Linked DNA regions of Alligator mississippiensis. The protein of the gene in region 2 purifies or fractionates together with the protein of the main gene of each other region. This does not show direct contact. Links are inferred from orthologs where the notes say so. Each region holds a gene or a part of one and is shown on either strand. Other genes may lie near its edges.

Region 1 (7,740 bases), on a different chromosome or scaffold from region 2:
GAGGACAGGGCCAGCCTATGAGGAAGTGCTGGTGCGGGATGGGCCCCCTGCACTAGCTCCAGGTGCAGCCTGGGCAATGCTGGCGAGTGGCTGCTCCTGGGAGGCAGGAACAAACCCCGACACCTTGGCAAGGGGACTCAGCCAAGCTCCCCCCTCGCAGCCCAGGGAGCTCCTCACCATCAAACTGGGCCATTTTCTCGCAGAGCTTCACCTCCCCCAGCACGGCCTTGAACTGCGGCTGGTTGATGCAGGTGACGAACCAGCGGTTGGTGTTCACATAGGGCTGGCGGAAGGATGGCTCCAGAACCTGGAGGGACAGGCCACCAGTCAGCTGGGGCTGGCCCCATCGCCACAGCGTGTAGAGGATCTTGGTTCCCTTCTACCTCCCCCACAAACCTTGGCGGCTACGCAGCACACACAGCGGCAGCCTTCTGTTGTCCTGGACACCAAGAGCTCCAGGCCAAGCCAAGTGATCCGTCTAGACAGCAGCCCCTGTCCAGAGCCTCCAAAGCTGCCAGCCCCCTCCAGAGCTGCTGGCTACGGCCACGGAGCCACCCTCCCCCCACAACCCGCACCTGCTTGTAGAGCCAGAGGAGGGTACAGACGACGGTGATGTCAGCCAACGTGATCCGCTCGCCCACCAGGAAGGTCCGAGTCCTTAGGTGTGCATCCAGGATCCCCAGTACCCGCTTCACCTCCTCCTTGGCAAGTTCTGTTGCCTGGGGGAGCAAAGACACCAGATCAGCACCCAGGCCAGAGAAACCCATGCGGAAAAGCCTCCTCCCTAGCTCTAGCCCATCCCTTAGGTGCTCAGACACTAATCCAAGAGGCAGTCAGCACGGGGAGGTCTCCGGCAGGGGAGCTCCCGCTGCAGAGCACAGTCCACCCAACTACCCTGGCCCGGGCATCCACTGCAGCAGGGGAGCCCACGAGCACTGGGTGCACCTGCAACCCACTCGGGCAGTCGCCAGGGTCTCACCTGGGGGGACCAGAGAAAGAGGCAGGTTGCGGACACCCCACGCCCAGCCATTCTTAAGGCACACCTGTACATAGCTAAGCCCAGCACCCCTCCCCTGACTCCAGGTCGAAAGACAACAGACCTCAGCTACCAAACGCCTCTGAGCATCCACCTAGCCTCATCGCCAAGCAGCCAGGACCTCGCTCTGTGCCTGGGGCAACAAAGGCAGTAGGGGAGCAGGAAGCCCACAGCCGACAGAAATGACAGCGAATCCCAGCCTTCACCTCACCGCAGGCCCCTGCAGGACAGCCCTGTGCCCCCCGCTCCAGCCCCGGCTCCCACAGACCTGTTTGTTGTAGTGCATGATGCCCAGTGTGGGGAAGACCCAGGTGCTGGCAGGGGGGACGACGTCGCTGTCTGCAAAGCTCACCCACTGGAGGACCTGGGCGGCGGCCTCGGCGCTAGCACCCCGCAGCTCCTCGTTACTGACTGAGAAGGGAGCCCACAGTCACCAGCAGCACAAGAGCCCCCCGTCCCTCCCATCTTCACTGGGGAAGGAAACTTCTCAGCGCTCTAGACACGTGGCGCTGCCCCCAACATCCATCCCCCCAGCCCCAAACCTCCGACAGACTCAGAGCTGCCTGGACCGGAGCCCCCTGAAGCTGGAGAGGGACCGGGCTCACCGTAGTACGCGATAGCGTTGCTCTCAAACACGCAGAACCCATCGTCGCCTTCGAAAGCCGGGACCTTGGCAGAGAAAGAGGCGTTTACCAGTAGGGTACGGGAACCACGGATTGTGGGTACGGGAACCCACCTTCGGGGCACCCCCAGCTCCTAGGAGTAGCCTTTCCCCCTTGCCAAGCTTTGGAAAGAAAAACTCCCCTTACAAACACCGTCCGAGCTCCCCTTGGGGAGACGCACGGCTCCCCTCGATGCGAAGCGGGACCCCTTGCCCTCCACCCCCACAGCGCAAGGAGCCGGGGCAGAAGGACAGCGTGGCAGCGGAGCCGTGTCCGATTTCGATGACTCACGGCTGGAAACCTGGCAAAGCCCCCAGCCAGATCCCATCCCCCCCCCCCCCCCCCTGTGGCGCCGTTACCCACCTTCCCGACGGGGAACTTCTTCAGGAACTCGGGGGTCTTGTTGGTCTGCCCGAAGTGGAACTGGGGGGGCGTGGAGAGGACCTTGACCTTGGCGCCGCTGAACTGGGCGGCGATGAGCGCCTTGAAGGCCCGCCAGTTCTCGGGATAGGTGTACAGAGTCTGTGGGGCGCAGCAGGGGGTGAGGGGAGTCGGGCAGCGCCCCCCCCCCCCGCACGCGCACACAGCGCTCCCTCGCCCCCAGCGAGGCACCTGCACCCCTCACTCGAGGCACCCCGAAAGCCCACCCACCGTTGGGCACTGCCCTGCCCCACCCCCAGCAGGATCCTCAGCCCCCCTCAACCTAGCCCCCCCCCTTTGCCAACTCACTCCTGCAACAGACCCACCGACCCCCGACTGATCTCCTCTGACCCCCCCCACACACCCCTCAAGACCCCAACCAAGGGGTCCTCAGCTCCAGCCCATGCCCCCCCCACTTCACACCTTCCTGTGCCCCCTTTGCACAGCTTCCCCCCCCCCCACGCAGCACAGTGCCCGGTGCCAGCTCCCTGCTTGGCACCAGCACCCCCCCCCGGGACCCCAATCCCCCCTTTTACTGGCCCAGGGGCCCCCAGCACCTCTGCTAGGGTCACGCCCCCCCCGACCCGGTCCCTGCCCGAGCCCCGCCCCCCAGGGAAACCCTCTAGGGGCCAAGGCCTGCTGTCACCCGAGCCAGGCCCCCCCCCCACACATCCAGGCCCCGCAAGCGGCTCCTCCGCGCCAGCTCCCGCCAATAACCGCCGCAAAGGGACGGGCCAGGGCCGCCCTCGGCCGCCCGCCCCGCGCCGGCCCCGGCCGGGCCCCCCCCGGGGCGGATGGGGCCGGATAGCGCGAGGGGGCGGGGGCCCCCGCACTCACCCCGGCCACCGCCATCTTCGCGAGCGGAGAAAGGGAGGCTGCCGTAAAGCGCGCGGGGGAGGAGGTGGCGGGGCCGTAAAGCGCGCGGCCGCGGCAGCACGACAGCTGCCTCCTGCCGCCGGCGCCGGCATATGACGTCACAGCAGCGGAAGGGGCGTCTCCCGAGGGGCGGTAGGGGGGCGTGGAGGAGCTTGCGCCTGCGCGGTGAGGCCTTGGAAGTGGTAATAACGCGCTTCTGTCACACGGGGGCGCCCGCGGGCTGGTCCTGCAGCTGGTCCCACGTGCTGTTCCCAGGGCTCCTCCACGCCCCAAACCCCACCCCCCCACTGCTGTCAGCTGGGGGGCGGGGTGCTGTTTTCAGGGAGGTCCCAGTCCTCCCAGACCGCCCTGGGGTCCCAATGGGGCTGGCCAGGGTTGCAGGGTCACTGCACCCCCTTATCCCAGGCTCATTCCCCAACACCCCTCCATCCTACTGCAGCTCTCCCCAAACTCCCACCCTGTGCCTGTACAGCACCTAGCACAGCAGAGTCCTGGCTCTACGGGGGCGGGTGCTTCAGCACAGCCCAGCCCCAGGCAGCCCCCCTCTGCCCCCCTACACCCTCCCACTCCCACGAAGCAGCTTCGGGTCACGGGAGGGAGTGGGGAACAGCAGACACACCACAGCGGTGTATGAAAAGCAGCTTTTATTGGGAGGAAGAACAGGCAGGTGTGGACCCGGCCCCCAGGCCTGGGCAGGCCCACGCCGGACCCCCATAAATAGGGCAAGCAGTGCAGGGGGGCAGAGGCAAGGCTCATCCCAGCTGGAGCCCAGGGACACAACCAGAGGAACGGGCTTGTGCATCAGCTCACGAGACCTGAAGGAGACATGGAGAGAGAAGGGTGGATGTAGGAGACCCTGGAGCACCATCGCCCAGGAGCCCCCACCTGAGAAAGACTGCAGCCCCTCGGTGAGCAGAGCCCGACCCGCGGGCACCAACTGTCAGGAGCACCAGTCTGTGCAGGTACGCAGGGATAGGGGCAGGCCTGGAGCCAGAGACGAGACTCACCCAGATAGTCGTCCATGAGGGAGCCGATGGCAAACTGCAAAGCAGGACACAGGTGTGAGCACCGCGTATGCCCCCCGCCCCCTCCCGCAGCCTGGGACTGGAGCCCCCATGCTCCCACCCCGCTGGCACTGGGACAGCCCCACAACTCCTTCCCACCCAGCTGCTCCAGGCCCACAGCCCCTCTGCTAGGAATGGGGTAGCTGGGAACCCGGCTCCAGCCCCACAGAAAGAAGCAGGCAGGACTCACGATGTCATTCTTGTCCACTCGGGTTCCCACAATTTTCAGCCGGATCTCGTCGTCCTGCTGGATCACGATGTCCTGCAGACACGTGGAGCCCAGGCGAGACTCATTTCTGCACCCTGCTTCCCCCTCCCCCCACACCACGGCAGCCCCTGCCATCTCCTCCACAGGGGAGAAGGGCTTCAATGACATGAATGCCTCTCATCACTAAGATGCCATTTGCAACCAGCTTGTCCCTCTCTTTTCTGGTTTCAGAAGTTTTTTGAAGGAGGCTGGATGGTTTTACAGATGAATAAAGTGAGGCACATGCGAGGGGAAAGTGACAGGGCCCAGGCCACTCAACAGGACAGTAGCAGAGCCTAAAGCAGACATGCCCCGTCCCGGCCTTCCTTGTCCCAAGGAATCTCATGTACTGGAAAACAGCCACCCTCCTGCCCCTTGCCCTGCTCTGGGGCACCCCCTAGCCCCTACCTGAGTTTCTACCCCAGCCTCCCCAGTGCCCCCCAATGCTGCCAGGTGCCCCCAGGGAGCACCGTCAGCCCCAGCTCACCTCGTCCACCGTTTTATAGCAGGGGGGGTTGGAATTGGGGTCGAACTCCATCTCAGAGGGGATGGACTATGGAGAGAAGGACAGTCAGCTGTGGTGGGCTCCCAGGTCTCACCTGAGCCTCCCAGACCAGAGGCAGCCCCCAGCCCCCTCCCCAGGCAGTGCTTACATGGCGGGAGATGAAGCAAGACATGGGCCCGATCTCAGTGAAGAGCCCAACCTGCGGGAAGAGGAGGCAGCAAAGCTGTGAGGGCCACGGTGACAGTCCTGGGTTTGGGCAACGCGGGAGCAAGGAACGTAGGGGTCTCGGATGTGGTATCTTAGGGTGGCCGTACGTCCGCCCGCCTTGCTCCTGCACTGCAGCAGGTGTCCACCCGCCCGCCTGGCGCACCAAGCTGCTCGGCCTCGCCGCTCAGGACTTCTGCCCAGCCAGCCAGGACCAGCCTGCAGAATCTGGCACTGTCCCAGCCAAAAATGGGACATCTGGTCACTCTAGTCCTGGGGGACAGAGGCAGCACGCCCCAGCCTCCAGCAGCTTCTACAGCCCCCCGCATCCCAAGACAGATGGTGCAGGGCTGCAGCCCTCCTCCGCACCAGGGCTTACACCAGAGGCTTTCCTGTGCCCCGCCGCCCCTCACCTTGTTGACCTGGGTCACCACCGCATCCACCACCTCGCCTTTAAAGGGCCGGAAGACGATGGCCTTGTACTTGACGGGGTAGAGCACGAAGCCGCGGCCCGGCTGGATGACGCCTGCCCCGATGTTGTCGATGGTGGTGACGGCGATGACGAAGCCGTACCTGCCAGGGAGGGAACGGGGCGGGGAGGGACAACACCAGTCTCGTTAGGACATTAGATCATGGTGGGATCCCCTCCATCCACGTGTCCCAGCTCCCTGTTCTCCCCCAACCCAGCCTGGCCTGGCCCCCCACTCACTTGCCCGTGCAGGTGCCCTCCACCTCGGTGAAGAGCTTCTGCTTCACCGTGTTGAGCAGGTTGGGCCCGAAGTAGCGCGGGTGCAGCAGGATCTCGTGCTCCAGGGAGATCTGTTGGGGCAGGACATGGGGTGGTCACAGACTGTCACAGGGGCTGGGACAGGCCCCCCTGCCCCCACCCACTCCCCTCCTTCCCCAGGACTGCCCCCCCATCACCCCCCCCAGGACTGCCCTGTCAACCCCCCTCCCTCCCCCCATCAGCCCTCCTTCCTCCCCCCAGGACTGTCACCCTCCCGCTGTCCACCCCCCCAGGTAAACCCCCTTCTCAAGGCTGGGCAGCAGTGCATGCCGGGAAGCCTGGTTGCGCTGGGGGTCTCCCTGGGGCGGGGTCCGCAGTGTCCCAGCCCCGGGGGCATGGGGGGGGGGGGGGGTTCCGCCACTCACGTGGTAAAACATCCTCCTGAGTCCCGACGTCTCCGGACCGGAAAGAACCCGCAACACCGCGCTTGCCCCCGATTGGCCGCAGCCCCGCGGGAGCCCCGCCCCCTCGGCCCGTAACAGAACCCCCACGGGAACTAATTGCGCATGCGCTCAGCCGAGGGACAGCGAGCTGCAGCGCATGCGCACTCGGGGCAGAGGCAGGCTGGCTGCGCGGCCGCCATGACACCAGAGGCACCCAACGGCGCCTGCGCGCGGCAGGCACAAGGGGGCGCTGCGGAGCCCCCGGCAGGGGCAGGGGCGGGGCCCGGGGCGGTGATTGATAGCGCGAGGGGTGGGGCGTATGCGGTGATTGACAGGCCCAGTGGCATCAGAATTTGCTTTATTGTCGCTCTGGTTACAAAAATAAACTCTGGAAAGTGACAACTGCAATGCACAGGCCCCCCCCACTCCCACTCCTCCCCCCGCAATGGCCCAGCTGCAAAGCCCCCCAAACCCACTGCAACCCCCTGCAGGGTGCAGCCCCCCCCTCCCCCAGCCACATAGGAGCTGCTCAGAGCCACCGACCCCCCCACCTCTGGCCCCGCGTTTGGCCCCTGGGGAGGGCTGCGTCCCCTTGCACCCCCAAGGCACAGCCCCTGTGTACAAAGCCCCCTGCCCCCCCATCCCCACGCAGGCCACCCCCAGGGCTAGCCACTCAGCCTAGCTTTGAACCCCCTTGGCCCACATCAGTATGCCCCCCCCCCCCCAAACCTGGGCCACAGCCCCCCAGCCGGGCTCAGTGCAAACTGGCAGAGGCGCCGTGCCCCCACAATGCCATGCAATCCAGCAAAGCAGCCCCCTGCCCACCCCGTCCCGCCTTCCCGCCACAAGGCCCTGCTCCTGATTAGCCCCGATTCTTCCTGCCCCAGCCCATGACCTACCCCCCAAACAATGCCCATTGCCCCTGCTGCTGCCCTGAGCACAACCCTCCCAAGACCCCTCGCCCCCCCCAGGCAGGGAGAGGGCATCAGACCCTGAGATTCCAGTGCAGAGACCCCCTGGCCATAGCTGCAGCCATGGGGTGCCTGGCACTAGGCAGCTACTGCTGCCCCTTCTTTGGCTAATAGGGTCCCAGCCCCCCCAGGTGGGGGGTGGGAGCCACCTGGTATCCCCAGCTGTCCAAAGCAGTCCAGGGGAGGAGGGTGGGGTCCCAGGCTTTCCCCCACCCTCAGCGGGAGCTGCCCTCAGTGCCTGGCAGCACAGCGGGGCTTGAGGCTGAGCGGCTCCGTGTAGGGAGATTCCCAGTCCCGGTTGAACACAGCGGCCAGCTGCTCCCGCAGGGAAGGCCCGGGTGTCCCCGGCTCCTCGGTGCTCTGATTCACAACCAGGCCCACGCCTGCGGTGTTGATGAAGTAATCCTCCGACCAGTTCGAGGTGCCTACGGGGAGGGGGGGAAACCAGTGATAAACACCAGTGCTGCTTGGGATTGGGCAGGGGAGGGCTCAGCTCACCAGAGAGGTCCCCAGAAAAAGGTGGAAGCCAGGGGTCCGGGCTCCCAGCTCCTCCCTGCTCCAAGCCCCCACGCCCACTTCCCTCCC
Region 2 (8,093 bases):
ACCCAAGGCCTCCTGCTCCCAGCCCCCACCCCCACGCCCCTCCCACAGAATGGAGGCTTACCTGTGGGCCAAGGGCTGCCAGGCCAAGGTGGGGCAGGGAGGCAGCGGTGGCAGCAGGGGCCACATCAGCTTGGGCATAGGCCACCCACTGGCGCACTAGAGTGGCCTGGGCCAGGCCACAGCCACGCAGGGTTGGGGGGGCCAGCAGGAAGGTGACAGCGGTGGCTCCGGTCACACGCAGCCCCCCTGGATCCTCCAATGCTGGCAGCCGGGGCAGGGCAAAGGGACCAGGAGGTGTCAGATCGGGCACAGGCACCACACGGGGTGGACAGGGGGCAAAGCGCGATACCACCAGCGCCTGCCGGCTGGCCACATCTTCGGCACAGGGGGACACAAACAGCGTGGCCATGTCCAGGCCTGGGACAGGGGAGAAAGAAAGGGGGTGAGAACCCAAGCATCCAGGCTGCCAGCACCCCCTGCTGTAACCCACTGGAGCTCCTGGGGCCCACCCAGGGGTCCAGGCTCCCAACTCCAATCCAGCAGCTCCCCATTCCCAGCGGCAGAGAACACAGACAGTCAGGCTGTCAGCTCCCCACCCTGCTCTGATCCCCCTCCCTGATCCCCAACGCCACCCCTGCTCCTAGGAACCTGTGTCCCAGCTGATGCGATCCCATGGACACCCTCCACCAAAAGGGACCCAGGTGTCCAGTCATGCCCCCTATAACAGTGGGTCCTACTGTAATCTGGGGAGGAGGGAGGGAATTATAGTGGGTTGTACCATAAATCTAGGGAGTAGGGAGGTCCTACCATAATTCTGGAAGGGGAGGGTGGAATTACAGGGGGTCCTACTGTAACTAGAGGGGAGGAGGATTATAGTGAGTCGTATCATCATTTGGGGGAAGGCGAGGAGGGAATTACAAAGTGGTCCTATCATAATCCTGGGGGAGGGTTAGAGTGGGTCATACCATAATTGGGGGGTACCATAATTCTGGGGGGAGGGGGAAATTATAGTGGGTCATACCACAATTCTGGGGGGGAAGGGAGGAATGACAAGGGATCCTATCATAATCTTGGTGGAGTAGGGAGATTATATTATATATTTGCATCTTTTTTGTACTGTTTTTGATGCAAGCAGCCTTGCTCTGTTCACATCCATCCAGAAAGCTGATGTAAACATTATTTTCCTAGCCTGTAACTTTGACATGCTGCTCCTCTTGGTGCATCTCTCTGTTAGTTCTTCCTTCTCTATTGCAGTCTAACAAAAGCTGCAAGGTACTGCACCTGGGGAGGAAGAACCAGCAGCATACCTACAGGCTGGGGAACTCTCTTCTTGAAAGCACAGAGGCAGAAAAGGATCTTGGTGTCATTATAGACTCCAAGGTGAACATGGGCCGACAATGTGAGGATGTGGTCAGGAAGGCTAACCGCACCTTGTCATGCATCCACAGATGCATCTCAAGCAGGGCCAAGGTGATCCTCCCCCTCTATGCAACACTGGTCAGGCCGCAGCTGGAGTACTGCGTCCAGTTCTGGGCACTGCACTTCAGGAGGGATGTGGCTAGGATCAAGAGGGTCCAAAGGAGGGCCACCACCATGGTCAGGGGGCAGCAGGGCAGGCCCTACAAGCAGAGGCTACGGGACCTGAACCTGTTCAGCCTCAAGAGAATGCTGAGAGGGGATCTGGTGGCCACCTACAAACTTGCAAACGGAGACCAGCAGGCAATGGAAGAGTCCCTGTTCTCCCGAGCACTACCGGCAGTAACAAGGAACAATGGCCATAAGTTAATGGAGAGTAGATTCAGATTAGATATCAGGAGGCACCACTTCACTGTCAGGGCAGATAGGATCTGGAACGCTCCTACCCTGGGGGTCTTCAAAAGGAGGCTAGACAGCCACCTAGCCAGGGTCGTTTGACCCCAGTGCTCTTTCCTGCCATGGCAGGGGGTCGGACTTGATGATCTGCTCAGGTCCCTTCCGACCCTACCAACTATGAAACTATATGGGATCCTGCCATAATTCTGAGGGGCTATAGTGGGTTGTACCACAATTCTAGGGGAAAGGAAGAAGAATATGAGGGCCCTACCGTAATTCTGGGGATGGTATTATTAGTGGGTTGTATTATCATTGGGGGGAAGGCCAGGGGCCCCGCCATAATTCAGGGGTGAGAGAGGGATTATATGGGGTTCTATCATAATTCTTGGGTGGGGGTGGGGATTACAGTAAGTCCTATGCTAATTCTGAGGGGTTTACAGTGGGTCATACCATAATTTTGCAGGGAGGGGAATTATATGTGGTTTCACCATAACTGTGCAGGGGGGTGCTATAGTGAGTCCTCCCAACACTGTATGGAAGGGAGAGGAATGGCAGAGACTCCTACCATAATTCGGGGGGGAGGGGAGATAAGTGAGTCCTACCTTGACTGGTGGGGAAGGGTGAAGGATGACAGTAGGCCCTACTATATCTTGGGGGGGGGGGGGAGGGTTAGTGGATCATACCATAATTCTAGGAATGAGGGGGGATTAACAGTGAGTTGTACCATACTTCTGGGAATAGGTGGGGAATGACAAGGGGTGCTACCACAATTCGGGGGGGGGGATACTGGGTCCTACCACAGTTCAAGAGAGGGAGTGACAGGAGGACCTACCATAATTTGGAGGATGGAATTATAGTGGGTTCTGGGTAGTTGGGGGGGGGGGTCCAGGGGCTCTACCATAATTCCCGGGGGAGACGGAGAAATGACAGCAGGTCCCACCATAATCCGGGAGGGGGATAATAGTGAGTCGTACCATAATTCTGGGAGGGGCGGGGGGGCATTAAAGAGGGTCCTACCACAATTCTGGGGGAGAAGATTGCAGGGGGTCCTTCCAACGCTCTGGGGGGTGGGGGATTACAGGGGGTCCTGCCACCACTCCCCCCGCCCCCTTCTTACCTCCCAGAGCCCCACGTGTGCCGCCCGGCCTCGCTCTACACTCCAAGGACCCACTTGGGGCTGACCACAGCACTGCCTGAGCCGCGCCACGCAGCCCCGCCCCCTCCGCCTTCACTAGGCAGCTGGAGGGGCGTGGTCGGGTTTAGCCGTGCCCCTCTTTAGCATGAATGCGGGCGTGGCTTTGTTTATCTAGTTGGACAGGCACTAGCTAGGATACTCGCAAAACGGGGCCTTGTAGAAAGGAAGCTGCGTGGAGGCATAAAGGTGCTGGGGTGGATAGAGCGGCCACAGCGCAGGCCGTGCACTTGGGCAGGTTCATAGAGTGTCATAGCGCCCCCTGGGCGCCTGGGTTCACGGGCGCTCCTCTGCGGGCCGGGGGCTGCGTAGAGCCGGGGGCAGAGCCCGGCTGTCCTGGCCCCAGCCCCTGTTGTCACCCCCAGGCCCCACTCCCCACGTGACACTGGGCTGGTCTCTGCGGGAATGGGGCATTAGAGAAGGGGGGCTGGGAGGGACACCTGGCTCCTTTGGGAGGGTCCCAGAGAGCCCAGGTGTCCCTCCCTTCTGTAGTCCCCACACCCACCCCGCTCCCTCCCCGGTGCGAGAGCCAGCGGCCCGTCTACAAGGGAGCTGACTGCCCCGCAGCATCGCGCGGTGCAAACTCCCTGGCTCCCGGCCTGGTGCAGCTGCCGTGGGGTGGCCAGCAAAAGCCTGTGCCAGGCAGAAGCCGCTCGTCTCTAGCAGCCCCTGGCTCGGGGCCGCGGCGGGTCGGGTCAGGTGGGCCGAGTGGGTGCTCGGTGCTCAGCGAGCAGAGCCGCGCTGCGGCATGCACGCCGGCTTTCGGAGGGGCAGCGAGGGCCCCCGGCCTTCCAGGCCACAGCCGGGCCCCGCGGGCTAGACGGGAGTGCCTGGCCGGCGGGATTCTGCCCGCCCCTAAAATGCAGAGAGAACAGGAGGGGTGTGCGGTGCCCACACCCCTCCCGAAATAAACGGAGAACCCAGGCGTCCCGGTTCCCGCTTTAACCCCAGGCCACCCCTGGACTGAACAGAGAACCCGGGCAGCTGGGCCGCAACCCGGGATAGGAAAGAAGAGGGGAGACTGGATGCTACAAAACACTTTTATTGAGATGTGGGAGCATAAAACCAGAGCAGAGGGGACCACCACCAGCCCTGGTGGGATGGAGACACCCCTCACCCCAGCTTGGGGAATGGACCAGGCCAGATGGGCTGGTCCATTCCCACCCCCAGGCAGCCCAGTGTGGCACAGGGGATTCTTGATGAGGCTAAACAGGCCCTAGGGCTGGCTGCTGTGGGGCAGGGGGGTGGGGGGAGAAACCCCCAAGTTCCCCCTCGCCAGTCTCTTCCGGGTGGATCAGTCCGGCTGAACTCCTCCCCCTAGGAGGTAGGCCTAATGGAGCAGTCTAAACACCATTTCCCCCCCCTTCAAGCAAGATAGATCAACCTACGCTTCCCCCTACAAACCAAGGCAAATGAGCTACTCCACTCCCCCCTGCAGTCCAAGCCGGTTGGACTAGTCCTTTCTACCCCCCTACAAAGCTAAATGGAGTAGTCCATTCTACCCCCTGCCTGCCAAGCTAGATGGACTAGTCTATTCCAAACCCCCATGCAATCCTAACTATTTGAATTAGTCCATTCTAACCCCTACAAAGCTAAATGGATTAGTCCACTTTACGCCCTTGTAGTCTAAACTAGATTAGAACCCTTCTACCCCAGAAGCCAAATGGACTAGTCCACCGTAGGCCCTGCAGGCCAAGCTAGAACTAGTCCAGTCCACCCCCTACAATCCAAGCCAGGTGGACCAGTCCACTCTACCCTCCCCCCAACCATCTAAAGTAGACTAGACCATTCTACATAAACTAGTCCATTCCACTCCCCCTGCAAGTCAGATAGACTAGTCCATTGTAACCACCACCCCTTTTTCAGCTTCATAGCTTAGAGCCTAGAGCCCCCCCCCATTCCAGTCCCTCCTAGCTGCGAGGCCCTGGGGGAGCTCCAGGAACCCAGATGTCCAGGACCATGGCCAGTACCCCCCTCCCCGCCCCATAGACCCAGACAAGCCTTGATACAAATCAAAGGTTGAAGACACCCAAATTTAATACCCCACTGCCAAGTCTATGCACAGACAAGGCCCCAAAGATGCCCCCATGTGATTATTTGCCCCCCAGGTGCTGGAACCCCCTCCCCCTCCAGGACCCTCGACTCTATCCCATAGGGGGCAGGGAGACTAGATACCCTGCCTTAAAAGAACCAAAAGGAGGGGTAGAAAACTCAGTGCAACAAAAGATCAGGCTAAAATAGGGGCCTTCAGGAGTGTGGTGAAAAAAAGGGATGGGGTCCCGTAAGAGGAACCCCCCCAGTAGTTGCAGGGGGGAAGAACCCAGGCACCCAGGGACCTAGATATGGCTCCAGTTCTGCTCAGGACCGGAGCAGGAACCCAGGTGTCCGGGGAGGTAGATGTTGGCTCCAGCGCTGCTCAAGACTAGGACAGGGATCCAGGTGTGCGGAAGGGCACGAACCCAGGTGTCTGGGGATCTAGATGTAGGCTCCAGCGCTGCTCAAGACAGTGCAGGAGCCAGGCACCTCTGAGCTATTAGCCCAGGTGTGGGGGGGGGGGGGGGGGGGGGGGGGGGCAGGACAGGAACACAGGGGTGTGGGGAGGTCTGGACGTGGGCTCCAGCTCTGCTCAGGTCTGAGGCAGGAACCCAGGCATCCGGGGGGGGCAGGTCACTGCTTCTGCTGGAGCGCCTCCTTGCGCGCGGCATCCTGCAGCAGCTGTGTGTCCACCTCGTCGGCTGGCAGCTGCACGTACCGGACCACTGAGCCCCGGATGAAGCAGTTCTTCACTGACAGCTGGGGGGAGGGGGGGAGCAGGAGGGTCAGTGTCCACAGCTGGGGGACTCTCCACCTCCCCCAGGGTGCTCCAGCCACAAGCTAGGACCCCCCACAGCCAGTGAGACAGCCCCTCACAATATCATCAAGCCCCACCCAAGCCAGTCCCCACCCCAGGACCTGGCCTCCCCCCACACTCCCAGCCACCAGCACCCTCCCAGAGCCTGGCCTCCCCATATACCCCCAGACCCCTGCAACCTCCAAGCCCCTCCATAGCCTGCCCCCCACACACACCTCCAAGCCCCTTAAACCCCAGTCTCCAGTCCCCTCAATTCACCCCCCTGCCCCAAGCCTGGCCTCCCCACACCCCCCAAACCCAGCCCTCCCACACACACCCAAGCCTAACCCCTGTGTCCCCCCACTGGCCATTACCATGTGTGGGTACTTCTCAGGGTCTGTCACACTGATGTCTGTCAGCTTGATGTTCAGGTACTGGGAGGGGGTGGGAAGAACAGACAGACAGAGAGACAGGCCCTGAACCTAGTGCTGTGAGGTAGAGGCCTGGAGCCTCCTAGCTGGCTGCAGAGCAGCTTGGGGGGGAGGGGTGGCCCTTTAAAGGGACTGAATCATTGAGGGGCATGGGGGGGAGAAGAGGTCCTACCTGGTCTACGGAGTGGAGTGTCCCACAAATGCTGCAATAGAGGAGGGGGTTAGTTCGTGGGGCAGGGGGAGCCCCGATGCTCGGGTTCTCTCCGTGCTGTGGGGGGAGAGTGGAGTCTGGTTGGGGAGCAGAGGGAGTTGGGAGCCCAGATACCTGGGTTCTCTCCCAGCACTTGGCTGGAGATGGGGGCAGATGCATTAGAGCAGGGGGCTGGAAGCCCGGACACCTGGGTTCTTTTGCTGCTCCGGGAGCCGAGTGAGGTGTGGAGGGGGTAGTACTTGGGAGCCCAAACACCTGGGCACCTGGGTTCTCTCCCAGCTCTGGGTTCTCCCTCTGCTCTAGGTGGGGAAAGCCTGGAGGGGAGGGGGGAGTTGGGAGCCCAGAAACCAAGGCACCCCCCAGGCCTAAAGTAGGCACCCGCTCACCTGAGGTCGTTTTTCAGCTCCACCACCACATCTTTGCCCACCAGGGACTTGAAGAAGGAGTAGAAAAGCTGTGGAGGGGAAAAAATGGCAGGGCTCAGCCTGGGGCAGGCACACAGCCCCCCCACCACCCCGAGCACAAGGCTGAAGCTGGTCCTTTACTTCCAGGTCCTGGTCCCTTTCCCAGACCCAGTCTTTACGCAGCTGAAGGTTGTTAGCAGCAAAGTACAGCAGCCAAAGAATCCAGGTGGCACCAAAACGATCTATTTGCTTATGACAACCTAAAATAGCATCATGCCTCAAGGACACAGCACCAAAAAGACCTGATCTGCAGCTGGGTTTCTGGGGTCAAATCCTCTCCAGGTTGCCCCAAACCACATGTCTTTACCGCCACGGCATGCTCTGAACAAGTCTGAGCAGGGCCCTGTCCCGCACCAAGCTCAGTTCTTGCGCCAGCGCTGCCCGCCCCCAGCCTGGGCACTGTGGGTGCCTGCACACAATGTTGGCTTTTTCTAGCTAAAGATAATCTCCGGGTTTATTTCATTTTCACAATGTACTACAATGATTTCCGTTACTATTTTGCACGTAACATGTATAACACTCAAAATTCGTTAATGTACTATAACTAGTAAAAAACGCTAGACACATCATAACAGTTTTAACCATCCCGATCTTCTACTACTAAATCACAGCAGGGGGCAGGTTAGGAATGAAATTTGTGATTGGTTTAGTTTTTTTTTCTGGGGGGGGAGGGGGGGTGGCCTTTGGGTTAGACTGCTCCTACTGCCCCAATTTTCTGCCACTCAACGATGCATTTTCAGGTGCTCTACCCAAAAAACGTACTAGCCTTGTCAATTTTGGGGACATGGAGTGAGACTGGTTAGCTTTTGGTTGCAGTTCCATAAACACCACCCCCTGCACAGCAGCCAGCAGGCAGCCGTCAGGAAGTGGAGGGCTTGGACCCCGTGGTCCATGTGTGGCGTTCTCTCATTGGCACAAATTTTCTGCAGATTTGTAAAGCATTTTCCAGGTGCTCATCCCAAGAAATATGCTGGCTTGGCCAATTTTGGGGTACAGCAGCAATTTTATAACAGTCACTTTTGGGTTTGGGTTTTTTTTTTTTTTTGTTTTGTTTTGTTTTTTTAAACTTTTCTGTCCAAGCCAGATTATGGTCCTTTTTGGTGGGGGGAAGTTAAATCTGACTGTGCCATTGTCCCATCAGCATTTTCACAGT

Evidence for each region. Proteins that work in one complex are often made in the same cells at the same time.
Region 1: the proteins of VARS1 (region 2) and EEF1G purify together in Homo sapiens (affinity purification with mass spectrometry; 6 studies listed by BioGRID and IntAct, counting the BioPlex papers as one, with this or other methods). This does not show direct contact. The link is inferred for Alligator mississippiensis from reciprocal best matches to the Homo sapiens genes VARS1 and EEF1G.

The regions. Positions count from the first base shown.
Region 1 is NC_081838.1:3,125,690-3,133,429, forward strand, and holds the start of EEF1G (elongation factor 1-gamma), read right to left. Parts: upstream 3,055-7,740; 5' UTR 2,971-3,054; coding exon 2,956-2,970; intron 2,221-2,955; coding exon 2,062-2,220; intron 1,706-2,061; coding exon 1,642-1,705; intron 1,448-1,641; coding exon 1,305-1,447; intron 720-1,304; coding exon 576-719; intron 308-575; coding exon 178-307; intron 1-177. Other genes in the region: POLR2G (DNA-directed RNA polymerase II subunit RPB7), read right to left, coding at 3,796-3,809, 4,002-4,035, 4,249-4,320, 4,793-4,858, 4,959-5,009, 5,428-5,587, 5,724-5,833, 6,167-6,178; 5'-3' exonuclease PLD3, read right to left, coding at 7,387-7,580. UniProt on the Homo sapiens protein: Probably plays a role in anchoring the complex to other cellular components.
Region 2 is NC_081834.1:57,717,635-57,725,727, reverse strand, and holds the start of VARS1 (valine--tRNA ligase), read right to left. Parts: upstream 3,029-8,093; 5' UTR 2,930-3,028; intron 2,882-2,929; exon of another isoform or gene 2,830-2,881; intron 418-2,829; 5' UTR 410-417; coding exon 62-409; intron 1-61. Other genes in the region: U6 snRNA-associated Sm-like protein LSm2, read right to left, coding at 5,672-5,797, 6,209-6,268, 6,438-6,468, 6,863-6,930. UniProt on the Homo sapiens protein: Catalyzes the attachment of valine to tRNA(Val).